Linked DNA regions of Callithrix jacchus. The main gene of each other region encodes a partner of the protein of the gene in region 6 in a complex. Links are inferred from orthologs where the notes say so. Each region holds a gene or a part of one and is shown on either strand. Other genes may lie near its edges.

What was found.
Region 1: MED25 (region 6) and MED21 share a complex: the UniProt entries of both Homo sapiens proteins name them as parts of the mediator complex. The link is inferred for Callithrix jacchus from reciprocal best matches to the Homo sapiens genes MED25 and MED21.
Region 2: MED25 (region 6) and MED13L share a complex: the UniProt entries of both Homo sapiens proteins name them as parts of the mediator complex. The link is inferred for Callithrix jacchus from reciprocal best matches to the Homo sapiens genes MED25 and MED13L.
Region 3: MED25 (region 6) and MED19 share a complex: the UniProt entries of both Homo sapiens proteins name them as parts of the mediator complex. The link is inferred for Callithrix jacchus from reciprocal best matches to the Homo sapiens genes MED25 and MED19.
Region 4: MED25 (region 6) and MED31 share a complex: the UniProt entries of both Homo sapiens proteins name them as parts of the mediator complex. The link is inferred for Callithrix jacchus from reciprocal best matches to the Homo sapiens genes MED25 and MED31.
Region 5: MED25 (region 6) and MED4 share a complex: the UniProt entries of both Homo sapiens proteins name them as parts of the mediator complex. The link is inferred for Callithrix jacchus from reciprocal best matches to the Homo sapiens genes MED25 and MED4.
Region 7: the proteins of MED25 (region 6) and MED16 are in contact, whole or in part, in a cryo-EM structure (PDB 7EMF), measured with the Homo sapiens proteins. The link is inferred for Callithrix jacchus from reciprocal best matches to the Homo sapiens genes MED25 and MED16. Residues at the interface, in NP_112235.2 of Homo sapiens: Ala26, Asn27, Gly29, Pro30, Tyr31, Val74, Asp75, Cys76, Ala77, Pro78, Glu79, Val82, Cys84, His85, Pro87, Lys102, Phe103, Met104, Gly105, Gly106, Gly107, Gly108, Glu109, Thr120, Gln123, Leu124, Asp127, Phe128, Tyr151, Leu152; in NP_005472.2 of Homo sapiens: Cys41, Arg42, Ser92, Ser94, His113, Arg161, Lys163, Phe171, Gly172, Gly173, Lys174, Pro195, Gly485, Tyr486, Ala516, Ala517, Gln520, Val521, Thr524, Arg525, Ile554, Ala555, Ser558, Lys561, Ser562, Leu563, Leu564, Arg565, Pro566, His567.

Annotation. Positions count from the first base shown.
Region 1 is NC_133510.1:44,217,563-44,221,541, reverse strand, and holds the end of MED21 (mediator of RNA polymerase II transcription subunit 21), read left to right. Parts: intron 1-711; coding exon 712-826; intron 827-1,096; coding exon 1,097-1,197; intron 1,198-2,063; coding exon 2,064-2,240; 3' UTR 2,241-3,479; downstream 3,480-3,979. UniProt on the Homo sapiens protein: Component of the Mediator complex, a coactivator involved in the regulated transcription of nearly all RNA polymerase II-dependent genes.
Region 2 is NC_133510.1:119,044,066-119,047,565, reverse strand, and holds part of MED13L (mediator of RNA polymerase II transcription subunit 13-like), read left to right. Parts: coding exon 1-357; intron 358-1,175; coding exon 1,176-1,401; intron 1,402-2,406; coding exon 2,407-2,512; intron 2,513-2,816; coding exon 2,817-2,941; intron 2,942-3,500. UniProt on the Homo sapiens protein: Component of the Mediator complex, a coactivator involved in the regulated transcription of nearly all RNA polymerase II-dependent genes.
Region 3 is NC_133511.1:115,289,779-115,293,889, reverse strand, and holds the start of MED19 (mediator of RNA polymerase II transcription subunit 19), read left to right. Parts: upstream 1-1,311; 5' UTR 1,312-1,344; coding exon 1,345-1,561; intron 1,562-4,111. Other genes in the region: TMX2 (thioredoxin-related transmembrane protein 2), read right to left, coding at 721-909. UniProt on the Homo sapiens protein: Component of the Mediator complex, a coactivator involved in the regulated transcription of nearly all RNA polymerase II-dependent genes.
Region 4 is NC_133506.1:108,210,682-108,214,873, reverse strand, and holds the start of MED31 (mediator of RNA polymerase II transcription subunit 31), read left to right. Parts: upstream 1-1,392; 5' UTR 1,393-1,474; coding exon 1,475-1,502; intron 1,503-2,320; coding exon 2,321-2,398; intron 2,399-2,683; coding exon 2,684-2,780; intron 2,781-4,192. UniProt on the Homo sapiens protein: Component of the Mediator complex, a coactivator involved in the regulated transcription of nearly all RNA polymerase II-dependent genes.
Region 5 is NC_133502.1:67,843,313-67,847,416, forward strand, and holds the start of MED4 (mediator of RNA polymerase II transcription subunit 4), read left to right. Parts: upstream 1-1,304; 5' UTR 1,305-1,341; coding exon 1,342-1,466; intron 1,467-4,104. UniProt on the Homo sapiens protein: Component of the Mediator complex, a coactivator involved in the regulated transcription of nearly all RNA polymerase II-dependent genes.
Region 6 is NC_133523.1:43,604,665-43,608,164, forward strand, and holds part of MED25 (mediator of RNA polymerase II transcription subunit 25), read left to right. Parts: intron 1-175; coding exon 176-338; intron 339-473; coding exon 474-604; intron 605-889; coding exon 890-977; intron 978-1,072; coding exon 1,073-1,266; intron 1,267-1,708; coding exon 1,709-1,837; intron 1,838-2,305; coding exon 2,306-2,391; intron 2,392-2,470; coding exon 2,471-2,528; intron 2,529-2,644; coding exon 2,645-2,752; intron 2,753-3,500. UniProt on the Homo sapiens protein: Component of the Mediator complex, a coactivator involved in the regulated transcription of nearly all RNA polymerase II-dependent genes.
Region 7 is NC_133523.1:834,341-838,303, reverse strand, and holds the start of MED16 (mediator of RNA polymerase II transcription subunit 16), read left to right. Parts: upstream 1-1,163; 5' UTR 1,164-1,296; intron 1,297-2,529; 5' UTR 2,530-2,689; intron 2,690-2,939; 5' UTR 2,940-2,957; coding exon 2,958-3,126; coding exon of another isoform or gene 3,127-3,170; intron 3,171-3,963. UniProt on the Homo sapiens protein: Component of the Mediator complex, a coactivator involved in the regulated transcription of nearly all RNA polymerase II-dependent genes.

The DNA.
Region 1 (3,979 bases), on a different chromosome or scaffold from region 6:
AATTGAACAATGGCAGAGAAACCCAGTGCAAATGCTTATTAGAAATAGGAGGTTTGAGAGGTCAAGACTAGGTGAGAGAAATTGGTGGGGAGGATAGGCGTTTTTAATTTGGAGATGATAAGGAATTGCTGTTCTCAATCTTTAGAAGTACTTAAGGAGTACTTTTAGCGCACAAGAGTTTAAAACTTGAGTCTTGAACAAATATGTTTCTGATTACTTAAGGTGCTTTTCTGAGCAGCCTTTTCCCCACTATTTCTTTATGCTTGTAACTACTCCAGTTTCAGAAAAGGAATTATATACTTTGTACATGAATAATAAATTTTCATTTGACGCAATGCCATAGGTAGATATTTGCAAGTCAGATTTCCATCACTGCTCTTTTCCATCACTGTTCCCCAAAAGTCTTTACTTTTGGCTTATAATAAATATTGGCTAGTGTTCTCTTACCATTTTACTATCAAAAGAAAAGAAATATTATTTTTATTTCAACTGTTTCAACTGGGTTGATACCAAACTTAGTTTCTTTGCAGAATTAAAATGTTTAATTAACGTTATTAGTAACTGGCTTATTTTATCAGCAATTATTCCTTTCTGTTTTATTCCCTTACTCAGAGATTATGATTAAAGAAATTTATTGTTGTTGCTGTTATCAATAAAGTCCTTAAAATTGATAAGTCCTTCCTAACCTTGACATGTTTTCTTTGGCCTAAGCTTGCAGATCAGTTTTGTAATGCCATTGGAGTATTGCAGCAGTGTGGTCCTCCTGCGTCTTTTAGTAATATTCAGACAGCAATTAACAAAGACCAGCCAGCTAATCCTACAGAAGGTAAACTGGTTTTCTTAGCTTCTCTTTGACTCTCACATTTATTGTAATCCTTTCAAATTAGATTTATTGAGCAATTCGGCTTATTTTGTTTCCAAAAATTATGCTTAATTCCCAATTTGAGCTAAATGTGTAATAGGATTTGTGTATATTTTAATCATTAGAATCCTAGTGCAGAAAAAGCTATGTGAAGTTTCCAGTTTCACTAACTTAAAATTTGTTCTGAAAACTTGAGGTTTTCTAATGACCTGATCTAGCATTATCTTTCTCTAGAGTATGCCCAGCTTTTTGCAGCACTGATTGCACGAACAGCAAAAGACATTGATGTTTTGATAGATTCCCTACCCAGTGAAGAGTCTACAGCTGCTTTACAGGTAAGTCTTTATTCCTTTGAGAATTTTACCAGTAATAGAGAATTTTGAATTAAAGGAGCAAGGTTTAATACCTTTTGTCTGTGTCCATTTGTGCTGCTGTAACAGAATACCTGAGACAATAATTTATAAAGAACAGAAATTTATTTTCTCACAGTTTCTGTAGGCTGGGAGGTCCAAGATCAAGACATTTATTACTCATTGTGCATGAGTAAGACATTTTTATTTAACACAGTGCTATGTTTAGGGCCATGTTTAAGGCCATGTTGAGGGCCTTCTTTCTATTTCCTCACATGGCAGAAGGCAGAAGGACAAAAGAGCAAGAATTCCCTCTTCAACCTCAAGCCATTTTATGAGGGCACTAATTCTATGAGAGCTTTGCCTTCATGACTTAATATCCTCTTAAAGGCCCTTTCCTTCTTAATACCTTCACATTGGGGATTAGATTTTAACGTATGAATTTTGGAGGGGACACATAACGTATGAATTTTGGAGGGGACACATTCAAATCATAGCACCTTTTGTTATAATATTCAATTTTCCATTATAAGGAAACCTCTTATTTCCTCAATTGTGTCTCTTTTCCTAGTGAAGAATGAGAGGAGGGTGGCATTCTAGATGTGGAGTAGAACAATGGTGCCCAAATGTAGTGTGGAAGGGAGTCACTTACAGATATCTAGAGATTTCTAATTGAAAATTCATTCTTTTTAATAATTCAAATGAGGAAAATTCTTAGAAGTTATCTGATTTTTAGAATTTCTTTGCTGAAAAACACAATAATTGCAAAGTCATCCAGATTTAAAAATAAGTACCTCTGTGACAGCTTCCCTCGTTAACTCTAAAGATTTCAAAATTTCTGTCTTATAAAGGCTGCTAGCTTATATAAGCTAGAAGAAGAAAACCATGAAGCTGCTACATGTCTGGAAGATGTTGTTTATCGAGGAGACATGCTTCTGGAAAAGATACAAAGTGCGCTTGCTGATATTGCACAGTCACAGCTGAAGACAAGAAGTGGTACCCATAGCCAGTCTATTCCAGACTCGTAGCACCAGTGGATACCATGTGGCTGAGAAAAGAACTGTTTCAGTGCCATTAAGAATTCTGCATCAGACTTAGATAACAAGCCTTACCAACAGTTACAGAAGCATTCAACACTATGACACATGTTCCCTTTTTAGCTATTTTTAATAGTCTTCTGTTTTCACTCGTGATAAATAAGCTTATAAAATAATGATTGAACCAGCTTTAAACCGTCATACCATCATTTTTTAACTGAAATTATTAAGGCAGATGATGCATTAATAAACATAAGTAAACATATATAAAATTCTATTGTGACATGATTCATGTCTTTATTTTGTTGTCTTGGCCAGTACTTTTACAAATCAAAACATTTCTCAAGCCAGAGAAGAAGGTAGTAAGAACAGACATAAGGGACATTTTAGTTTAGGCTAGCATCCTGCCTCTTAGAGGTGGCATTGTGTAAATTTGAGCTTTGAGCAAGAAAGTTTTGGAAATTGTATTGCTTTTAAATAGAGTTAGTGTGGCTGGATAAGTAAGTCACATTTATGCAAATGTTTCTTCTTTCAGAACTTCATACCTGTTCTAGTTCATCTACACATTCTACCAAGAAATCCTCTGTCAGAATTTTCCTGCTATTGTGAAAGAATTCACCTTGTATTTTTCATCCTTCTCCTTAATTTGCTTGCATCACAGTGAAGTATGTTTTTGAATCGTCAGTTCTTTCTCAGTCTCTTTATTTATCTAAAGTTTCTTTCTTTTGCCCTTTATTAATCTCTCAACTTTTATTGCTGTATTCTAGTCAGACCCGAACATACTTTCAATACATCAGTTACTGGGCTCTATTTCACCTCAAGTTATTATTGCTAACATTTGTATCAGCATTTTCAACTATGGTTACTCATCCAACCCTTGGATCTCTTTTAGTCTAGTGATTTTCTCCACTGGAAAGGTGGAATTAAAATGTATTCACATTTTAACTGGCCATTTCCTTGGGCTATATTTTTCAGAATATCCTGAGCTACATTTGCTGTAATCTTGCTATTCAGAGTTTAAGTTTCCAGAGAAACCAAAAATACAACACTGCCTGTTATTTTTGTCATAATCAAGCTTTTCCACAGTTCTTGAAAAGTACTGTGTTTCAAATTTCAGGAACACCAGTGTTAGCTATAAAATTCGTAACAGTTTATTGGCTTGTCACAGAAAGTTTTTGAACTTTTAACTGTATTTTCATTGATGTTTATTAAAAACATTTTGCTATCACAGTTATTGTCCATAAATCTGTACTCTTCATTGTAGTTTTTGGAGGAGAGAAGATTTGATCAGAAAACTGATTTTCAAAGTACTTAAGTGTTATAAAGGAGTCAAGAAGGTACAAATAGAAAATGTCAGGCCGGGCATGGTGGCTCATGCCTATAATCCCAGGACTTTGGGAGGCTGAGGCGCGTGAATCAGGAGGTCAAGAGATCTAGACCATCCTGGTCAACAAGGTGAAACCCTGTCTCTACTAAAAATACAAAAAATTAGCTGGGCATGGTGGCGTGCGCCTATAGTCCCAGCTACTCAGGAGGCTGAGGCAGGAGAATTGCCTGAACCCAGGAGGCAGAGGTTGTGGTGAGCCGAGATCGAGCCATTGCACTCCAGCCTGGGTAATGAGCGAAACTCCGTCTCAAAAAATTTCACAACCTCTCAGAATAAAACATAATAAAATAGTAACCCTAAATTTTATTTTATTAATACATTGATAATTAAATGTTAATGATCT
Region 2 (3,500 bases), on a different chromosome or scaffold from region 6:
ATCCCCTCTGCCGCCAACACTCAGCCCTCAGCCACGAGGCCAGGAAACAGAGAGTTTGGACCCACCATCAGTCCCTGTGAATCCAGCCCTCTATGGAAATGGGCTAGAACTCCAGCAGTTGTCTACTCTGGATGACAGAACTGTCCTCGTAGGCCAAAGACTGCCTCTCATGGCAGAGGTCAGCGAGACAGCCTTATATTGTGGGATTAGGCCCTCGAACCCAGAGTCATCAGATAAGTGGTGGCATAGTTATCGTCTCCCTCCCTGTGATGATACTGAGTTCAGGCCTCCAGAGCTCCAGGGTGAGAGATGTGATGCCAAAATGGAGGTAAACTCAGAGAGCACTGCATTGCAAAGGTAAGACAGCTCTCTGCACCACGTACCCATCCACTGGAAGGCTATGGGCTCCCTCCCCATCTCTCCCTGCTAAACATAAGGTTCAAAATTGAAGCCGACTTTTCTTTGTCCTTCTTGACTCTGCATATGGAAGATGTTTAATGGTCCAATGCTTTGTTCTACGTACAGCATAGCACACATGTCATTTAAACACACGGGCATATAAAGACCTCTTTGTGCCATGTTAGTAGACTCAGAATATATTAATATATTTTTGGCCTATTGTTTGTTAATTAAAGAATACAGCTTTATGAGGCCTTCTATATTGCTACCAGTGCCTTCTTTGTATGTTGACATTTTTGAGGAAGGCTTTGCCTGCACTCGAGTGTGTGTATCATGTATCTAGTATAATATTTACAGTGCTTTTGGTCCACTCATTCTAAACACTTTTCATAGATTAACTCATTTAATCTTTACCATATCATATTATTATGGTAATTTTATAACTGAGAAACTAGGGCCATGCAGTTAGTAAATGACACAGATGGAGTTTGAACCTAGGCGGTTTGTCTTGAGAACCTGTGCTCTTAAGTGAAATTCATGGACCCAGAGACGAAAACATATATTCTTGAAAAAGTATACTTACTAATTTTTATTTAATCACGAATATAAACTATAAAAGCAAATCACCATATAGGTGAATTTTTAGTTTTTTTTTTTTTTTTTTTTTACAAAAAGTTTAAGCTTTGTAAATGCTTTGTCATAATGCCTTTTTTTTTTTTTTAAAGAAACGCACTTAACCTTGTTTACCTTGTTTCAATTGTCATTTTGTCTTTTAGACTCTTAGCACAACCTAACAAACGGTTTAAAATCTGGCAAGACAAACAGCCGCAGATGCAGCCACTCCACTTCCTTGACCCATTGCCTCTATCACAACAACCTGGAGACAGTTTGGGAGAAGTGAATGACCCATACACCTTTGAAGATGGTGACATAAAATACATCTTTACAGCCAACAAGAAATGCAAACAAGGAACGGAGAAAGATTCCCTGAAAAAGAATAAGGTACCATTTAACAGAGAGAGAGTCCAGCACGTGTGGGTTTCTATCTATGTCAGTAAAACACGTGTGGGAAGACTTTGGAGGCAGAACATTTCAGATAGTCTTGCCTGATTGCTCTGTCCCCATATTCATGCTCTTGGTACTATTGTATTGAACAGCGTATTGTTCCTTTTTATGTCATGGCTCACCTTTTTTTAAAAGTCAGCCGAACATAAATGAAGCCTCATATTTTCCAGGCTATAGCTTGTACAGTGCATGTTTCCTCTCATATGCTAATTCTTGTTGGCCTATGCTCCCTGCTTATTTCTTTTAAAATATTATTCCAGAGTACCCAAAATGTAAAGGGAAAAATGTTGATCATAGTATGTATATACAGTTTATCAAGCGCTTATTATCCTCACTGTGCTGAGCGCTATACCTGTGTATTCTCTGGACTCATACCAGCTCTACCCATAGACTATCAGTATTAATTTTACTGGTTTCATTATTATAAAAATGAGTACTGGTTGTGTCTGCTGTCTTTAATTTCAAATTTTCAGACATTCTAAAATACTGGGCCATCAAAAGAGGTATTCTTGAGAATCAAGGAAGTAAGACAATTATAAGAGGCCAGTATACTTCAGGGGAATGATTTTTAGATTGTTTTATACTGATCTCCCTAGATCCAGAAGGCTTAATCTATACTTCATCATCTAAAATGTTGTTAAAGGCAGCTTTTAATATCATGGCATCATTTAATATCAAATGCCACCAGTACTCGTTAGGCATAAAAAACGGATTCACTCAGAATACCCCATAGGATTGAGGGGAAAGTGGGGAGCTCATGGTTCTGTTAAAATTCTGGAGAAAGGACCTATCTTTTATTTCCTTTGGTTGCATAGACCATGGTTTATCATACTTGTGCTCATAACAAGTTCCATTCTACCCTCTAATTCTTTGTGTTCTCCCTCATATTTCACACTTTGGGTTGGTGTTCATGTGTTTTGTTTGGCTGAATTTATTATACAGTCAGAGGATGGATTTGGTACCAAGGATGTCACTACACCAGGTCATTCCACGCCGGTGCCTGATGGGAAAAATGCCATGTCTATTTTCAGTTCTGCTACTAAAACAGGTGTGTACAATGATTATTTGCCTCACTTGGATTGTTGCTAAAATAAAATGCAAGGGAGATGCTTCTCAATATAAAATTTTATTCTTATTGTAATAAGAATTTCATCTCATCTTTAATATATTTTATAGTTTTTCAGTTCCTTTCAAAACTGATAAACATATTTGGAAATAATTGTTTCTAAATTTAACTAAAACCATAGGGAAAAACTCAGGCAGGTCATGTTCATTGAGATCCGTGTCCCCTCCCCACTCCTTTGCACTTGGTGGAGTTGTTTATTCTGTTTCTTTTGCTTCCTTTCCTACAGATGTCCGGCAGGATAATGCTGCTGGCAGAGCTGGCTCCAGTAGCCTTACGCAGGTAACAGATTTGGCACCTTCCCTGCATGACTTAGACAACATCTTTGATAATTCTGATGACGACGAACTTGGGGTGAGTTTGCCATAGCTACATGCACAGAAATTTCGCTATATGAAAGGATTTCATGTCGCTGTTGTAGTATTTCTTTATAGCTTGGTCTACTGAATTTGGGGGCTCTTATTTCAGGTTCTGAATGTTCTTTATAAATGTCTGTATACTGGAGTCTAGTCACACTGTATATTGAAAAAAAGTTTATATACTTGGAAAATATTGTAAAGATTATTATTGTAGTGTACCCCCCTCTAGAATTTTGTTCATTGAAGGATCTTTTTCATTAGTGTCTCCAGTTATAAGTACTAAAAGTCTTTTCACATTCATTTTAATAAATTCTTCTAAATACCATTGGAGTATTAGAAATATATTGTCCCTTAGATTTGATTTTTAAAGTAATGCCCACATAAATTTTTATTCATCTAATAAGTCAGAGGTTAGATATGAAAATATAATCTATACTTTTTAAGATCATGGCATAATGGTAGGGAAATAGAATTTATATACATAGAAGTTAAATAATACAAGGCATCATATGATTTAAATGACAGAGAGGAATAATTGTAATTATTTGGAGATC
Region 3 (4,111 bases), on a different chromosome or scaffold from region 6:
GGTTGATTTTTTGAACAAACCCTCAGAGAGCAAGGGGAAGTTTCTCCTTGCCCCCCACGTGCTATATGGCAGAGGGCGAAGCGCTTTAAGTTAATGTTCTGAGCGGTCCCTCCACCCCTACCGAGGAAACACAGCAAGGAGCTTGGGACGGATTTTTTACGACGTATTTTTTTTTTACAATTCCTTTACAATCGCCCCAAAATTTTATCCACTTTCACATCCTCACGATCCAGCAGAGTGCCTAGAGTGTACACTCTAGAAATGTTTACTGAATTAAGAAACGGCTGACAGTGTGTGCAGCTAGTGTGGCCAGAAGAGCAGTTTCAAGTCCCAGGCACTCATTAGTTGTGTGATCTGGGGCAAGTCGCCTAAATATACCGAGATCCATTTCTTCACCAATGAAACAAGAACATTACTACTTCCCTTGTCTACCTACTGGCTCCTCAGGAGGCTTTACTTAATGAGCGGCACTGTAAAACGCTGTACACGTCTATGTAGAGTTTTCATAGGGCTGTTGATTAGTGTGAATGGTGAAATGGAAAGAAACCTGGACTCCGCAGTCAGAAGCTGTTGGGCCGCTCGCTGACTTGATGATGGTCCGGACCCTGTACTTAATAGTTTGTAAGTCCGCTACAGGCTCGGAACCTCAAGTGTCCTCAGAAAGGGAAAGCCCAGGGTTCCCAGTCAAGGTCGCGGGGTACTAAGACGCGGGACGCTCACCCAGTCAAAGTCACACGGGTTGCCGTCTTCGCGTTGGGTAGGCAGACCGTTGCAGAGCGGCGGCAGTTTCCTCACGAGTAGGAAGGCAGCAGAGAGCAGGGCCGACAGAAGGTAGTAAGGTTGGGCCAGCCATCGTGAAAGTCGCGGCACAGAATACACCAGAGCAATTAGAGGTGCCAGGATCGCCATCTTTTTGGCCGTTAGGGCCGGGGCTCATTGGCGTTGTAGGTCTGGCCCCGCCTCCCTCACCATAGAGACTGCTATTGGGCCGTATCTCAAATGTACCGCCTCTAAATCCGGATGTAGCTCTCTGGACGCTGTGGTAGGTCAGAACCCAAATAAGAATTTAACATATTATTGGTTAGTCTAGTTGTCGCTTTATCCACCTAAGTCATTTTATTGGACTGTAGCAAACGAAGCTAGCAGAAGAATCTAATAAGGTTAAATAGCACTTTCTAAACGTTCTCATAAGGCGACGGAAGTAGTTGCTGAAACAAGGTAAGCGGTGCCTGAGGCATCCAATGACAAGAGGCTCCTTGAGAAAGAGGGCGGTACCCTTAAAAGCATTGTCCAATGAAAATTACCAACGCCAGACATCTAGGCAGCGCCGAGGCGGAGGGGACGATGGAGAATTTCACGGCACTGTTCGGGGCTCAGGCTGACCCACCACCGCCCCCAACCGCACTCGGCTTCGGACCAGGAAAGCCTCCACCCCCGCCACCACCTCCTCCAGGCGGGGGTCCCGGCACGGCCCCGCCTCCCACCGCAGCCACGGCCCCTCCCGGCGCGGACAAGTCAGGAGCTGGCTGTGGCCCTTTCTACCTAATGAGGGAACTGCCAGGTGAGTACACGGCCTTGCCAAAGCCAGCCAATCAAATCTTAGAGAGGAGGTGATGGGCGTGGTTCTCAGCCGGCTAGCGGAGGTGCCAGGTAACCTAAGAAAGACAGACTCGGACTGTGGAGCCATAAGTCGGAAGCGCTGTTAGGATTCACAAGCAGAGGGATGACTTGAATTCAACCAAACGGCGGGGGAGAGGGACGGTGAATCTCCGTGACACTGGTTTATGTCTCCCTAAAAAAATGATCCAGGACTGGGCGCGGTGACTGATGCCTGTAATCCCAGCACTCTGGGAGGCGGAGGCGGGCGAATCACCTAAGGTCAGGAGTTCGAGACCAGCCTAGTCAACATGATGAAACCCCCCCTCTCTACTAAAAATACAAAAATTAGCCGGGCATGGTTGCGTATACGTTTAATCCCAGCTACTCAGGTGGCTCAGGCGGGAGAATCGCTTTGAACCCGGGAGGCGGAGGTTGCGGTGAGCCTAGATTGCTCCACTGCACTCCAGCCTGGGCGACAGAACGAGACTCCCTCTCAAAAACAAAAGATCCAGGAGATCCAGGGTTTCAGTTAGGAACTTGAGAGGCCTGATTTAATATCTTTGGGGACCCAAAGTTTTAATTTTGCTGTTGGTTTGGGGCAAGTTGCCATTATTCCTTCTAAGGTTCCGGCGTTTCCTGGTCTGTTCTAAGAAGGGATAAGAATCAAACCAAACTCTTTTCATTCAAAAATTAATTTTGTTGAGTTCCTATGTACCAAGCACTTTTGTAAATGCTTGAGATACAGTTATGAACAAGACTGACAAGATGCTTGCTTTTTTTTGGAATGTACATGTCAGTGGAGGAGGCATTGTAAACAAGATTATATCAGAGAGTGATTAATTCTAGGAGGAGAAAACATGATAAAGAATTGAAAGGGGCCAGGCGTGTTGCTCACACCTGTAATCCCAGCGCTTTGGGAGGCCCAGGCAGGAGGATCCTTTGAGTCCAGGAGTTTGAGACCAGCCTGGGCAACATGTCGAGACCCAGTCTCTACAAAACATACAAGAATAGCCAGGCACGGCAGTCCGTGCCTATAGCCCCAGCTATTGGGGAGGCTAAGGGAGGAGATTCTCTTGAACTCAGGAGGTTTCGGCTGCAGTGAACCAAGATAGTGCCACTGCACTCCAGCCTGGGCAACAGATGAGACCATCTCTCAAAAGAAAAAAATGTTGAGGGCAGAACTACTTTAGTTAGAGTGACCAGAGATGCTCTTTCCATGTAGCTAACATTTGAACTAAAATATAAGCATAGACAAAGGGCCAGCTATGGATGGATAGGAGGGAGAGATAATACTAGATACAAGTAATGAGGTCAGAAACCCTGATGTGAGAAAACGCTTAGAATATCTGAGGGACAGAAAATCAGTTGGACTCCAGTGAAGTGAACGAAAGGAAAGAGTCTTAGGAGAGAGAGACAAAAGGAAAGGTGGGAGAGTTAGGCAGAGGCCTTTATAAAGTAATAAAGGCATTTAGATGGCAAATACCAAAGGAAGCCGTTTAAAAAAAAATTTATAGAGGCAAAGTCTCACTGTGTCACCCAGGCTGGACTGCAGTGGCATAATCATAGCTCACTGTGACCTCGAATTCCTGGGCTCATGCTGTCCTCCCAGCTCAGCCTCCCAGGTAGCTAGGGCGACAGGCATGTGCCACCATGGTTGGCTAACTTAAAATTTTTCTGTAGAGATAGGGTCTTACTGTATTGTCCAAGCTGGTCTTGAACTCCTGGCCAACAGCAGTCCTCCTGCCTTGCCCTTCCAAAGTGCTGGGATTATAGACGTGAGCCACTGTGCCCAGCCAAGGAAAGCCATTTTAACACAGGAACTTGGTCAGATTTACTTATTTATAATCATTCAAGCAGCCACATGACAAATAGAAAGTGGGGAAGTCAGAGGTTACCACTCATAGTCCAGGAAAGATGATGGTTCAAACCAGGGCATAGCAGGGCATAGAGAAGTAAATGGATACAGGATGTTAGAGGTAGAGCTGATGGGGATGAAAAGTTGAATATAGGGCCAGGCGCTGTGGCTCATGCCAGTAATCCCAACACTTTGGGAGGCCGAGGTGGGAGAATATCTTGAGCCCGAAAGTTTGAGACAAGCCTGGGAAACATAATGAGACACATCTCTACAAAAAATAAATATAATTTAGCTAGGCATAGTGATGTGTGCCTGTAGTCTCAGCTACTTAGGCGGCTGAGGTGATAGAATTACTTGAGCCCAGGAAGTTGAGGCTGCAGTGAGCCGTGACTGCACCACTGCACTCCAGCCTGGATAATAGGGGAAGAAGTGAAGGAGAGAGTAAAGTGAAGGAATGATGTCTTCTTAAGTTTTCACCTTGAATAATTAGGTGTATGGGTATGGAGACTTGGAAGATGAGGAAGGAACAAGTTTGAAGAGGTGGAAATCAAGTTTTCTGGACATGTTAGGTCTCCAAGATGCCTTTCATTATCTCAAGTCTTATTTCCACATCATGACTTGAGGGAAATAATAACAAATATTGGTATGGTACTCTGA
Region 4 (4,192 bases), on a different chromosome or scaffold from region 6:
AGGTTGTAGATAGTAAGTGCATTTTCAAATTACCATATTTTCTACTTACAATGGGTTTATTGGGAGGTAACCCCATTGTAAGTGGAGGAGTATCTGTAGTGCCTGGCACAGAGCAGCTACTCAATAAATATGACTCTTGTCCATCTTGTTCAAACCTCAGGTCAGGTTTCAATGACTTCCTTTCACTTTCCCTTCTAAGATTATTTTTGCTTGCTGGTAGGTTTGCTATCATTTTTAACATCTAACCTACCTTAAAAAAGTATGTGAATGGGGGTGCCAGGTAAAAGAAAACCATTTACTTTGAAACATAAACAAAGGGCAATTAATAATTTATGAGTTAGTTGCTTCTCAAGCTTTTAGCAGGCATGGAATCATTCCACAGGTCATGATTTCAGTTTGGTCTGTGTTCCTAAGGGGCGAAGGTCATCGGAGGGCTTTGGATCCCAAACTCACCTGGCTCAGAGGTTCAAACAGCCTTTGTCCATCAACCCGATTTATACAGCATCCTGGGCCTGAAAACCTTTTGTGCTGGCTTCAAGTGAATATAATTCACTGGGTCAAAAGCAGGCTGGTCCAAGACGCCGCAGGATGGTCAAAAAACGTTGGCTGTGTTCAGGAACCGCAGCCTAGCTGTTTCTTACATTGATTTATGAGCTATTTCCATGAAACCGAAAAAGATTGGTCCACCTGGCAGCTGGCTGGCTGGCAACTGGAGGCCTTTCTGTCCTGGCTGAGGGCCCTGGCACCTTGGTGGCCTTTGGGAAGCAGTATCTCATCAGGCTTCTTTCTCTCGGAGGGAGGGGGTGGTGGTGGCGGCCGGCCTGGCCCGCGGGGCTGGGCTCTCCGCGCGGTGCAGAGACGTCTCCACCCGCAGGGTCCCTGACGTGGCGGGAGGTCGTTTCCGTGCGCCGCGAGGAGGCTTCCACGTGCCAGGAGGACTCCTTGAGGACGCCAGGGAGCCACTTTCCCGACGGGGAGAGGGAAGACCCCTCGCTGCGGCCCCGTGAGGTCTCCACCCATCCGGGCGGACCGTAGACGTCTCCGCGTAGCGGGAGATCCGCACCGGGGCGAAGACTGCTTGCCCCCTGGGCTGAGGCCATTCTGCCAGGCGTGAGGGGGGCCAGGGAGGCCTCTGGGCACCCCACATACCAACCGTCACCGCAGGCAGAAGAGAGAAAAACTACTGTACTACCACAGGGGGGAGAGCCACAACACGATGATGTGGAAGCATCATTGTCCTTCGAAGGCTAAAACACTAGGCTTCTGCCCCTCGGGCGCTCCCACGGCCCTGTCCCCGCCCCCTCGCCGTTCGGTAGCCAGCGGGGATGGAGCGGCCCGGGGATGGGCGGAGCCTCCCGGCCGCATATCCCACAATGCCCCGGGACCGGAAGAGGGAGCTGTGGTTTTTGGAACTTCCCTCGCCACTCTGGGCGTTTGCTCTGTCGGGCTGGTGGCGGGTTGGTGTGTGTTTGTTATGGCCGCCGCCGTCGCTATGGAGACAGGTGAGTAGCTCTCTGAGCCTGGAGTCTTCTCAGATGGAACGCTCCTAGGCCCAGACCTCTTCCCCGGGGCTTCCTTTCAGGCCTCACTCTGCAGGGTTCGTATTTGGACAGGGCGGAGAGAAGGCCCTTGTGGCGTCTAGAAAGGCTAAGGTACTTTTCGCAGTTCTCCTAATTTGGTTTGTGCCACATCTTTGCTATTCAAAAACCACCAGCTCGCCAGGGTGGGCGAGATTAAGAGAGGACTTGTGTGTTAAACCGTGTCCTCCTTGATTGGTTTTCTGCTTCTCACGAGCTTGCGTATTTGAAATACCGTCGCTAGACTTGTGTATCATTGTGCTGTTGCTGCTTCTCAGATATGCATAAACTCCACGATCTTTTAGGCTCTCTGCAGTCTCTTTTTCGGCTTGCATCCTAAGTTTTTCTTAAAGGATTCAGCGCGTAGCTTTTGCGAAACGTAATCACTGTTAACAATTGTTACAATGCATTATTAAAATAGGGGAAGCACAGTTATTACAGCTTACCTAAGTGATCACTTAAAATTCCTGCAAAGTGGTCCACGAGTTGGTAGGAATTCTGCTCTGTTTGTGTGGCTGTTTTCTTTGATGATTTCTCTTTAACTTTAGAGAAACTTCTAACTTAATCCTTTTAATCAAGGCTCCGCTTTTCTTAGATTTCGAAGAAAGGTTTATCTCCACCCACTCCCAGTTTAGGAAGACCATCTCGATATTAGTCAGGTTTCTTTATTCTTTCCTTACCACAAATCAGTATTATATACAGTGACCTTTATTTTCGATGATTTTTGCTGTCTTGTCTCCTAGATGATGCTGGAAATCGACTTCGGTTTCAATTGGAGTTGGAATTTGTGCAATGTTTAGCCAACCCAAATTACCTTAATTGTAAGTTTTTAAGCACCTCATTAAATTGAGTAGCTGTTAATTTCTGACAGAAGAGTTGCAATTCAAAATAGTATCTGCTTGTACACATTCTCAATGAAATGAAATTACACTTAGCTGGTGTATAGATGTAATTGTGTACATTGGGACTTGTATTTTGAATCCGATGTGTGTTGGTGGTGGGAGTGTTATGTAAATAGATCCTTTATATTAGGGGTAACAAATCATAGTTTAAGAATTGGTTTGACCTACAGATTTTCTTTTTTTTTTTTTTTTAATGCTTTTCAGTTCTTGCCCAAAGAGGTTACTTCAAAGACAAAGCTTTTGTTAATTATCTTAAATACTTGCTTTACTGGAAAGACCCAGAATATGCCAAGTATCTAAAGTAAGTTTAATTTTTATAATCCTAAGCATGTGTATACTTTATTATATAATAGATTTCTTAGTTTCACATTGGCAAAAATGTATTTTGAATCTCTCCACTTCTTTCAGTTGTCACCTTAATACAAGACACCCTCATCTCTAACTTGTATCACTGCAGTAATCTATTGCCTGGTTATCTCTGCTTCCACTTTTACCTTCCTGCTCCCCTCCCGCTCCCTGCAAACCAAACAAAGCAAAACAGCTTTCTACACAGAAGCCTGCTTAATCACTTAAAAATATAAATCAGAACACTTTACTTTTTTGCCTAGAATCTTTCAATGGCTTTGCATTTCCATGCGAAATAAAATCCAGTCTCTCTTTTTTGGGCCAAACCCCTCTATGATCTGGCTCTGCTTTGTCTGACCTTGTCTTTTACCGACCTCCCCATCTCCCCAGGTTTCTGATCTCAAAGAACTCACAATCTGTAAATGTTGTTTAACATTACGTAATTTCAGCCATGGGCTGAAATTAAGAACACAAAAAGAGAGTATCTGTAAGGAAGGTGTTTGGGGTTGTTGGGAGGAGTCTTACCTGAATCTTAGAACTGCTATCTTTTCTTTAAGTCCTGTTCTGTGTCAAGAACAGTGCTAAATACTTCACATGCATTTACTCATTTATGTGTATATATATGTTTACCATTCAGGTTGTTCAGCAGACACTTTCCTGTTAAAGCTTACTAAGTTGCAAGAAGTGTATTATAACCAGAAAGCAATTCCCTTTTAATGGTAAAAAAAAACAAAAAACTACACCTTGAACTCACACCTCTGCTTTGTTTTAAGCAGGTAGTCAGAAAGCAGTAGTGAACTTTTTTTTTTAAGACAAAAATTTGAGAGGAAATGTTTCAAATTTGTCTTGAAGTCACTTTTCTGTATGCAGTAACAGTTGACTCATGAAGCATATACATCTTGTGTTGCCTGCAGGACCGTTTGTATCTTTTCTGGCTTTTTATCCATTTAATAATCCAAAGAAAAGACTTTTAAAAAAGTATATTTCAACAAATGTTGTATGTATGTAGATTTACAGACTCTGTGTTGGAAGCCTTAGCCATCCGTAAGTTTAATTTTATCCATAGTGTTGCTGAGAGATGGTCATCTACACTCCGTTTGGAAGTTTCCATTGATCCCATGTGACTCTGTCAAGGACAGCTGATTCGATTGTTAGCCAGAAGTTATAAAGTTCTTCCTTATATTGTGATATAATATACTTCCTTGTAGCTTCAATCTGTCCCTGGATTAAGCTAGAACCATTCTATACCCTCTTGGGGACAACAGCCTTTTAGATATTTACATTCAAGAGAGATTGCAAATTAGCCCATTTTGGGCATTTTATTTAGTCTGCCCAAGATTTTAGTTTTTTTTTTTAATGCTTGCCAAT
Region 5 (4,104 bases), on a different chromosome or scaffold from region 6:
AAAAGTCACTTCACAGAAGCTTCTCATGGCTGCTTGAGAAACACTAGGCCCAGGGCCAGGCATGGGTACTCACGCCTATAACCCCAGCATTCTGGGAAGCCAAGGGGGGTGGGGGGGTGGATCACTTGAAGTCAGGAGTTCGAGACCAGCATGGCCAACATGGCGAAACCCTATCTGTACCAAAAATACAAAAATTAGCTGGAAGCGTGGCACGTGCCTGTAATCCCAACTATTCGTTAGGCTGACGCAGGAGAAGCGCTTGAACCGGAGAGGCGGAGACTGTAGCTAGTCGAGATTGCAACCATGCACTCCAGTCTGGGCAACAGAGTGAAACCCGTCAAAAAAAAAAAAAAAAAAAGAAGGAAGGAAAGAGAGAGAGAGAGAGGGCGGGGGGTAGGGAGAGAGAAAAGGAAGGAAAGGAGGAAAGGAGGGGAGGAGAGGGGAGGGGAGGGGAGGGGAGGGAAGAGGGAGAGGGATGGGGAGGGGGGAGGGGAGGGGAAGAGAGAGAGGGGTGGGGAGGGGGGAGGGGAGGGGAGGGAAGAGGGAGAGGGATGGGGAGGGGGGAGGGGAGGGAAGAGGGAGAGGGATGGGGAGGGGGGAGGGGAGGGGAAGAGAGAGAGGGATGGGGAGGGGGGAGGGGAGGGGAGGGAAGAGGGAGAGGGATGGGGAGGGGGGAGGGGAGGGAAGAGGGAGAGGGAGAGGGATGGGGAGGGGGGAGGGGAGGGAAGAGGGAGAGGGATGGGGAGGGGGGAGGGGAGGGGAGGTAAGAGGGAGAGGGATGGGGAGGGAAGAGGGAGAGGGATGGGGAGGGGGGAGGGGAGGGGAGGGAAGAGGGAGAGGGATGGGGAGGGGGAGGGGAGGGGAGGTAAGAGGGAGAGGGATGGGGAGGGGGAGGGGAGGGGAGGTAAGAGGGAGAGGGATGGGGAGGGGGGAAGGGAGGGGGGAGGGGGGAGGGAGAAGGGAGGGGAGGGGAGGAGGGGAGAGGAGAAAAGAAAAGAGAGAAAAGAAAAGAAAAGAAAAGAAAAGAAAAAAGAAAAGAAAAGAAAAGAAAAGAAAAGAAAAGAAAAGAAAGAAAAAAACATTATGCCCAGGAGAATCAGACTCTGGTCTACCCCTTGTTCTCGGTTCGGCTGTCGCTCCCAAGGTTTCTACCGGAAAGCCCTCGCTGGCCCAGCAGATGGCGCCGGTGTCCGCAGTGCGCCTCCAGGCGCACAGGGGGCGGTCTCGCCAGGGCTTTCATTCCTTCACTGGGTGACTCTTCTGCCTTCCGAGCCTGCCTACCCGCCACGCCCCTGCGTCAGCATGCACTGCGCGTGCGCCAGCGGCGGGACGGTCGGGAGTATGGCTGCGTCTTCGAGTGGTGAGAAGGAGAAGGAGCGGCTGGGAGGCGGCTTGGGAGTGGCAAGTGGTAACAGCACACGAGAGCGGCTGCTGTCTGCGCTTGAGGATTTGGAAGTCCTGTCTAGGTAATGGCTCGAGCCTTAGAGCCGGGCTGGAGCTGGGCCGGGGAACTGACCCCGGCCGGCCCTTGATTTGCGCTAGTTCTCTGCGCTTGGCGGGGAGGGCCGGCGCGGGAGTTTCGGGTGCACGATGGTCCTGGACGTGGGGTCCGCAGCCCTTTGGCACTCTGGGCGGCGGTTTTTCCCGATAGAGGGAATTTTAATAATGATAGTAATCGTGGAAATTAAGAAATTGCGCGGTCGGAGCCCCCTTCGTCCACGGCCGGCCACTTAACATTTATGGAACGCCCCTTGGGTGCCAGCCACTGGGGTCTTGAAGGGTAGGCTGGATGCCAGAGACAGACAGATGTGTAAACTGGAGTGGGGCCTGTTTTATTAGAGGGCTGCACACAGGCACCCTGAAGAAAGGGCTGCTTGGGAAGCATGAGCTGGCAGACTCACTAGGCAGCAGGTAGATGGAACGGCATGTGCAAAAGCCTGGCTTGGTGGGGTTGCAAATTGTTTGGGATGGTTGTGTGGCAGAGGTAGGAGACGAAATTAGATGTCACTCTTCATATTCTGTTACTTTTCATGATAAGTATCTCAAGTTGAAGTCTTCCTTGACTCTCTCACATTGGCTTGCGTGGTAAATTATCTTGGTTCTTCTACCTCCTAAAATGTGACTCAGAGTTGCCGTCTCGTATCTACTCCGCTGTTAATAACTGCTACTTAAATGCAGCCTCCCAGTTTTAATTGCCTCATGCTTCTGCACTTTATCCTTTTATATTGGCCGAGACCAGTTTTAAAAGGCATGTTATATCATTTTACTGCAGAAAAATGATATAAAACCTATATCGTTGGTAGGTTTGCATTGTCCAGTGAGGTAAAGTTCAAATTCCTTAGCCAGACTTACACATCTTCAGTGCAAATCCCAGTCTACCCTCAATTTGGTGGATGATTCATTTATCCTTCAGAATCCAGCTCAAATGTCACCTTTTCTGTAGCCAACATTCTTTGACAGCTTTAGAATAAATCTTATCTATTGTATTTTAAAATATACCTGATCTACTTATAATCGGCACTTTATGGTGTTAAATTTAGTCTTTGCCACAACATTACTACCAAGTTACCAGGTCAGCATGATATTTAATGATGGAAGAGAACCCTAAAACACATAGACACCAGAAATTAAATGGCTATGTGTTTAATCCACTGTTTAAAATAAACTGTATTAGGGCCGGGTATGGTGGCTCATGCCTGTAATCCCACCACTTTGGGAGGCCAAGGTGAGTGGATTGTTGGAACTTCTTCACAGAATGAAACTGCTCTGATGTGAATGACTTCCAGAAAAGTGTCGTGTGCTCACTCAGACATAGTTATGTGTACCGATTCTGTGATCTGTGAAGTTTGTCAGTTTCTGAATGGAATTTGTGTCTGGATTGCATTTATGAAAATGAGAAGAAAATTCACAAATGTACCTTACATATTTTTAGGTTGAGCATCTTTAAAAACAGTGGATTCGTAACTTAGGGTTTTTTTGTTTTGTTTTTAATACATATTTTATTGCGTTTTAGATTTTGGGGCACATGTGAAGAACATGCAAGATTGTTGCATAGGTACATACATGGCAATGTGGTTTGCTGCCTTCCTCCCCATCACCTATATCTGGCGTTTCTCCCCATGTTATCCCTCCCTGTTTTTTTTTTTTTAAAACTATTAACCTGATTATGTAGCCTTTCAGGATATTTATTACTTTGTAAAATGTAATTGGAGGAGGTAGTCTTTGGAGGAATTTAAAAAGTTGAAACACAAGTTGTAGCTAAACGTTTTTCTTTTTTCTTTTTTTTTTTGGGACAGAGTCTCGCTCTGTCACCCAGGCTGGAGTGTAGTGGCATGGTCTTGGCTCACTGCAACCCTTGCCTTCCAGGTTCAAGAGATTCTCCTGCCTCAGCCTCCTGAATAGCTGGGATTACAAACACCTGTCACTATACCTGGCTAATTTTTGTATTTTTAGTAGAGATGAGGTTTCACTATCTTGGCCAGGCTGGTCTTGAACTCCTGACCTTGTGATCCACTCACCTCAACCTCTCAGAGTGCTGGGATTACAGGTGTGAGCCACCGAGCCCGGGCACTAAACGATTTCTCTTAACCTGTTTGTAACTCAGAACTCATTGTCCCGCAGAACCATGTTGATAGGAGTCTTGAGATTTCCACACCAGCCTGTTAATTCTGTTTACCTGAAAAGTGTATTGCCACTAATAATGTAGGCTCTAACCCCTATGGAAATTTTATTTCTGTGGGGAAATGGGGCTGGATTCTAATGTAGTATACCAGGAATGCACCTTCTTTGTAGCAGGACAGGGCTCTAATTTCCACATCTTTAACCAGACAGAATGAGTGTGGGCTTTCTTTGGCCTTTTTTCCACGATTGGAGAGGACATAGGTTTCCATCTTGTCCTGGACTGTTACAGAACATGATTAAGTCTTAGAGACTTCTACCTCCCCTGTACTCCTGTCCCTAAATCAAGCCTTATAAAGCTTTCTGTAGACTCATACTCCCAGATTTGCAAGAACAGAGAAAGGCTTATCCCACATCTCCTGCCATAGCCCCACTCCAGTGAGCACCACCCTTACCCCACCTGAAACCAGCTTTTACTTAGACCAG
Region 6 (3,500 bases):
TCTCCTGGGGCAGGTGATACCCAGTTTCAGAGTCTCCTGCCTCAAAGCCCAGCAGGGATTGTGGTTGTAGGGCTGGTGCCGTCTAGCCACACTGCAGCCGTGGTAGCTTGGGGGCTGGCCCCGACATCCCTATGGAGGGAGCCCCCGACATGACTGCTGGGCCCCTCTCCTGCAGCGGGGGATCCACTTCTCCATCGTGTCTCCCCGGAAGCTGCCGGCCCTTCGGCTTCTGTTTGAGAAGGCAGCTCCCCCGGCCTTGCTGGAGCCACTGCAGCCTCCGACAGATGTGAGCCAGGACCCGAGGCACATGGTGCTGGTTCGGGGCCTCGTGCTGCCTGGTGAGGCTTGGGCGCTGTTGGGGATGGGGGATCCAGGTGTTTACCCACCACCCTCTGACTTGGATTTTGGATTTCTCTCCTCTCTCTCCACCTGAACCCCTTCTCTCTGGGGTTGGCCATCCCTCCTGCTCTCAGTTGGGGGTGGCTCGGCCCCAGGCCCCCTCCAGCCAAAGCAGCCAGTCCCCCTGCCTCCTGCCGCACCCTCGGGTGCCACTCTCTCAGCAGCCCCCCAGCAGCCTCTTCCCCCTGTACCCCCGCAGTACCAGGTATGGATGTTTTCAGGAAGGGACATGCTTCTGGGGACTTGGAGGAGCCATGCCGCTGGGGAGAGATCTAGCTGGATGTTGGAGCTTGTGGGATGCTGGGAGTCCCCTTGGGACCCTGGGAGGGTGGGAGTCCTGGGACCATGGAAGCTTGCCTACAGGGTGATGGGAGTCGGGAGCTACCCCAGTTGGGCGGCTGCGCCTTGTGGGGCTGTGGGTAGTGTGGCCTCATGGGACACCAGGACTGGGGGCCGTGGTCCTCACCAGCCCCTTCCCTTCTACCCACAGGTTCCTGGGAACCTGAGTGCAGCTCAGGTGGCCGCCCAGAATGCAGTGGAGGCTGCCAAGAACCAGAAGGCTGGGCTGGGCCCTCGCTGTGAGTCCCGGGGCAAGGACGCAGGGCGGGCAGGGGCCAGGCAGGCCTCTGTCCACACACCTGTTCCCCACTTCTTCCCTTGCTCTCTCCCACAGTCTCGCCCATCACCCCTCTCCAACAAACCGCTCCTGGAGTGGGTCCCCCCTTCAGCCAGGCCCCAGCTCCCCCACTACCCCCAGGACCCCCTGGCGCCCCCAAGCCGCCACCTGCTTCCCAGCCCAGCCTGGTCTCCACCGTGGCCCCTGGCTCGGGCCTGGCTCCCACAGCACAACCCGGGGCACCATCCATGGTAGGTGCCTGCACGCCTCCTGCCCTGGCTCCTTCCTCCTGCTGCCCACAGCTAGGACAGTTAGAGGTTGAGTCATTTGCCTTCCAAGGAGATGTGGGTCTGGTGGTCCTGGGGCCTTGGGGGCTCGTGGTACGTGTGCTGCAGATGACTGAGCTGAGTGGGTCTGGGGACAGAATGTGAGGCTCATGGCTCCAGGTGGGCGAGAACTGTTCTGAGAAACCCAAGGAATTCCTGGGTCCGGGAGTCCAGGGCATCATGGGGCTTACGACTCCTCGAATCTTGCAGCGTGCAGGCATTTGGGGTCCTTGGGCTGGCCAAGTGCTATTTGGGGATTAGGTACAGAAGAAGGGGCCTTTTCTTCTTCCTGGTTTACCCTCACAGATGGCCCCCAGAGGCTCCCTCTTTCCCCATCCTCATGGCCCTCCTTCCTCCCCTCTGGCAGGCAGGCACCGTGGCCCCAGGAGGGGTGAGTGGCCCTTCCCCAGCCCAGCTGGGAGCCCCAGCCCTCGGTGGGCAGCAGTCAGTCTCCAATAAGCTTCTGGCCTGGAGTGGGGTCCTCGAGTGGCAGGAGGTGAGAGGCCTAAGGGTCCACTGGGCACTCGGAACTCCTGGGGCTGCAGGGTGGAGCACATAGGATGCATGGGGCCAGATGTGTGGGATTTGTAGTACTGGCTTTGGTGGCATTCATTGGGCTGGACTCCTGGGACTTGGGACCAGGCCAGGAGCCCCTTCAGGTGGTTGGACTTGTACTGAGGAGGGTCCTCATGCAAAGAACCCAGAAGAGCCTAGGATTTGGGGCCCTGAGAAGGGCTGGGGGCTGGCATCTGGGGAGCAGTGCATTGTGGGGTTTAGGGCTGGATGAGTAGCCCTAATATTTGAGGAGTTGAAGGCTTGGTGATCCAGATGAGGGGCCTAGGGCGCTTGAGACTTCACCTGAGGAACATACTGAGTTTTGGGGCTACCAGGGTAGGACATGAGGGCTAAGGAGGACTGAGGCTCATGGCCCTTTTCACTGTGACATGCTCTTTCTGCCCCGCAGAAACCCAAACCTGCCTCTGTGGATGCCAACACCAAGCTGACACGGTCACTGCCCTGCCAGGTCTACGTGAATCATGGCGAGAACCTGTAGGTGACTGTCAGGGGTGGGGTGCAGTAGGGCTGGGGCTGGCCCCCTCCTCACACCTCTCCTGGCATCGCCCCACAGGAAGACCGAGCAGTGGCCCCAGAAGCTGATCATGCAACTCATCCCCCAGCAGCTGCTGGTGAGTGGCGGTAGGGGCCAGCCTTGCAGTCTCTTCCCTAGTTCCTTCCCCACGCCTCGTGCCTCCTTCCTCACTTCCCCACACAAACGTGCCAGCCGACTTCTGTGTCTCCACAGACCACCCTGGGCCCTTTGTTCCGGAACTCAAGGATGGTCCAGTTCCATTTCACCAACAAGGACCTGGAGTCTCTCAAAGGCCTCTACCGCATCATGGGCAACGGCTTTGTGAGTCCAGGGCATGGGGGCCGGAGGGGCATTGACTCTTGTCCTGCTTTCTGCTGACCTTCGACAGGAATCCCCAGGGTGCCTGGGCCCACGGAAGTGGTTTTTGATGGTTGGGTGGACTTGATGTGCTTGGGTTTCTTGTCTTGCTTTGAGAGCCTTAACTTTTATTACAGTCATCATATGCATCAGATTGAGGGACATTAAATATGTCACCAGGGGCCAGGCCTGGTGGCTTATACCTGTAATCCCAGCACTTTGGGAGGCTGAGGCGGGTGGGTCACGAGGTCAGGAGTTCAAGACCATCCTGGCCAACGTGGTGAGACCCCATCTCTACTAAAAATACAAAGATTATCTGGGCATGGTGGTGCATGCCTGTAGTCGCAGCTACTCTAGAGGCAGAGGTTGCAGTGAGCCAAGATCGCACCACTACACTCCAGCCTGGTGACAGCAAGACTCAGTCTCAAAAAAAAAAAAAAAAATACATCCAGGTGCAGTGGCTCACGCCTGTAATCCCAGCACTTTGGGAGCAGATCACGAGGTTACAGATAGGCAGGTCGAGACCAGCCTGACCAAAATGGTAAAACCCCTGTCTCTACTTAAAGTACAAAAATTAACCTGGCATGGCATGGTGGTGCGCCTGTAGTCTCAGCTACTCAGGAGGCTGAGGCAGGAGAATCACTTGACCCCAGGAGGCGGTGGTTGCAGTTTGCCGAGATCGTGCCACTGCACTCCAGCCTGGGCGACAGAA
Region 7 (3,963 bases), about 43 Mb from region 6:
AAAGAAAAGCACAACATGCATTGCATTAAACTGGCTCGTGGAGGTGGAGGTGGAAATGGGGTTGGAGGTAGGAACATTCCTCAGCGGGACTGGTGACTTCAGATAAAGGAGCCTCAGTTTCTCCAATCTTGGAGACTAGAAAACGGAAGAAATGGCCGGGCGCGGTGGCTGACGCCTGTAATCCCAGCACTCTGGGAGGCCGAGGCGGGTGGATCACGAGGTCAAGAGATCGAGACCATCCTGGTCAACATGGTGAAACCCCGTCTCTACTAAAAATACAAAAAATTAGCTGGGCATGGTGGCGCGTGCCTGTAATCCCAGCTACTCGGGAGGCTGAGGCAGGAGAATTGCCTGAACCCGGGAGGCGGAGGTTGCGGTGAGCCGAGATCGCGCCATTGCACTCCAGCCTGGGTAACAAGAGCGAAACTCCCGTCTCAAAAAAAAAAAAAATTTAAATTAAATTAAAAAAACATAAAATCAAAACCATAGTGTTCTCCTGTGTATGCAGCAGGCGCTCAATATGTGCTCCTGCGGAGCGTTTACTTACTTATTTACGGTAGCTCGAGGGCCACAGGGGCAGGTGGCGGGGCGCCACAACTAAGTGGGGACGGCCAGATTGTTCTCCAGTCGCCGACCTTAGTGGTGCAACAGGAAACGAAAAGGGGAAGGCGATGGCGTCACCGCACCAGTGACGTCATTGCAGGATGGCGGAAGGGAGGGGCCCTGTGACGTCATTGCGGGCTCGCGGAAGGGAGGGGCCCTGTGACGTCATTGCGGGCTCGCGGAAGGGAAGCAAAAATATGGAACGCTTCACGAATTTGCGTGTCATCCTTGCGCAGGGGCCATGCTAATCTTCTCTGTATCGTTCCAATTTTAGTATATGTGCTGCCGAAGCGAGCACGATTGAGCTGCCGCACCGGGACCTATTTATAGCCTCTATAGTCAACTCCTCTACACATAGGGTGACTTTTGTTAAATGCTATAGACGCCCAACCTGTATTTCCGTGGTCTGACGTGTAATCCAACCAACGCAGTTATTAACTGGAGCTGGGAAAGTGCTTATTCCACCAAATATAGTTACGGTGGCTTTTGGGAATCACTGGAAATGCTCGCATGCAAATATACCCGGAAGCGGGGCGGAGCCTAGGCCGCGCCGCCGTCCCAGAAGTCTTTGGGAGGCGGCGGCGCGGGCCAGGCAACTCGTTGGTCCCAGGGAAGATGGCGGCGCCGGAGCCGAGGCATTAGGGAAATTTCGCGCCGCGGACGCCCGCTGGTCTTGGCGCACCGGCCGGCCAGGTGAGCGCGGGGCTGCGGGGGCCGGCCGGGGGCGGGACGGATTCCCGGTGGCGTCTGCTGCCCCAGGGAACGCGGCGCGGCGGAGGCGGGGCCTGCAGGGTTAGGGGGCGTGTCCGGAAGCAAAGGCTGCTGGGTAGGCGGCTTTCGGCCCCAGGGTCTGCAGCTTGCGGCGGAAACTCCGAAGCAGCCGGAGGCCCGCGGGGCGGGGCGGGGCTAGGGGCGGGGTCTGAAGGGAGTTTTGGGCGGGGCTGAAGGCGCTTGGTGGGACTTAGGGGGCGGGGCTTGTGGGTTTGGGGGCCCCGGCATGGAGCCTGGGAACTGGATAGCTATATGGATGAAACCTGGAGAGTTGGGTTCCCTGGGGTGGACCGTGGAGATTGGAGGTCATAGGGGCGGAGCCTGTAGACGCCATGGGGTCCCTGGGATGAAGCCTGCTGTTTGGGGGCAATAGGGAAAGGGCCTGGAGACTACATGGGGTTCCTGGAGGGGAACCTGGGGACTGGGGAGTTTTAGGGGTGGGGCCTGGAGAGCCAAGGCTGTCGGAGGCTGGACCTGGGGAGGTCAGCCAACATGGGACCCCTAGGGTGAAGCCTGAGAATTTAGGCTGAGGCCATGGGCCCCAGGGGTGGTTTGAAGTGGGGGAAGCAAGAGGTGTCAGGGGCTGACTTTAAGGGGTGTCTGGCGGAGCCCTGGGGGTCTGGGGCAGACCCTGAAGTAGGCAGCCCCGGATAGGGTTTGAGGAAAACCGCCTGGTGGTCCTTCCAGCCTCACTGGGTTTTTGCCTTTGTGAAGCAGAAACAGTCTGTCCAGATGCTGGGCGCTTAGAAAGCCCGAAGGAAACAGGGCCGGGCGCCTGTAATCCCAGCACTCTGGGAGGCCGAGGCGGGTGGATCACGAGGTCAAGAGATCGAGACCATCCCGGTCAACGTGGTGAAACCCCGTCTCTACTAAAGATACAAAAATTAGCTGGGCATGGTGGCGCGTGCCTGTGATCCCAGCTACTCGGGAGGCTGAGGCAGGAGAATTGCTTGAACCCAGGAGGCGGAGGTTGCGGTGAGCCGAGATCGCGCCATTGCACTCCAGCCTGGGTAACAAGAGCGAGACTCCGTCTCAAAAAAAAGCAAGCCCCTAGGAAATGCTCCCTCTGTTGCCTGTCACACTCACCAAGCCCCTTCGCCCCAGAACGCCTGCCCGCCTTGGCCACAGGCAGCCCCACCATATGCCTGTTTGTAGGCCCTTCCTTCAAAAGAGACCCAGCGTCCTCCTGCTGCCGCCATCATCACTCACCTGGGCCAGTGCAGACCCTCCGCCGCTTCTTCGGCTGTGCCCTTGGCCCCCCCCCCCCGCCCCGATCTGTTACCCAGATAGCCAGAGGGGCCCTGGTGAAATCCAAGTAAGTCCCAGCCCTCCTGGGCTCCCACCCCGCTCAGGGTAAAAGCCCACAGGCCCTGACCTCTCCACACCCCCTTCAGCCCCAGCCCCGTGGGCTGCCGGGAACGCCCCAGGCTCTTTCTGGCCTCCGGGCCTTTGCACCTGCCGTTCCTTCGACTGCCTGCCTGTGGTTTTCCCGTATCCGGCCTGGCACTCCACGTGCCCTGGAAGCTCAGTCCACACAGACGACCAGCCAGACCTCCCTCCCGCAGGAGCTGGTGACTGCCCTCATGTGTGACTTGCGGCGGCCGGCAGCAGGTGGGATGATGGACTTGGCCTACGTCTGTGAGTGGGAGAAATGGTCCAAGAGCACGCACTGCCCGTCGGTGCCCCTGGCCTGCGCCTGGTCCTGCCGAAACCTCATCGCCTTCACCATGGACCTGCGCAGCGACGACCAGGGTGCGCCCCCTCCCGCCCACGTGGCGTCCCACCCTTTTCCCCAGGTACCCGGCACCCTGCCTTGCGGGGATCCAGTCTTGCAGGACACCCCTCACTCTCTAACGTGGGTGAGAGCCTCAGCCTCCTGGAGGTGCAGAGGGTGGATTCAGTGCTCCCCACACCTGGTGCCGGGAGACGTGAGGTCCCCACTCTGTGGGATCGAACGGGGCTGGGGTGGTGGTTGACGCAGGCATGTTAGGGACACCTGCCCCAGGTTTCCAGATGGTGTGGGTCACTGTTTGGTTTTTGAAAGGCACCTGGTGGCCGGGCGTGGTGGCTCATGCCTGTAATCCCAGCACTTTGGGAGGCCGAGGCGGGTGGATCACAAGGTCAAGAGATCGAGACCATCCTGGTCAACATGGTGAAACCCCGTCTCTACTAAAGATACAAAAATTAGCTGGGCACGGTGGCATGTGCCTGTAATCCCAGCTGCTCGGGAGGCTGAGGCAGGAGAATTGCCTGAACCCAGGAGGCGGAGGTTGCGGTGAGCCGAGATCGCACCATTGCACTCCTGCCTGGGTAATAAGAGCGAAACTCCGTCTCAAAAAAAAAAGAAAGGTACGTGGTGGCTGCACTCATTTTCTCTCTATTGCTCCAGTATATGCACCTGTAATATGTGCTCAATAGAGAAGATTAGAAAACCACAGGAAATTAGAATCAAACCAGGGTGAGAAAAGCCACCTTTCACCTTCTGTGGAGGAGCCTGCTTTCAAATTTTGGGTCATTTTCTTCTAGTCTGGTTTTAAAAACGTGGTCGTGGCGCATCACGGGCCTTTTCTGTTCCGGGGCGGCGGTGGG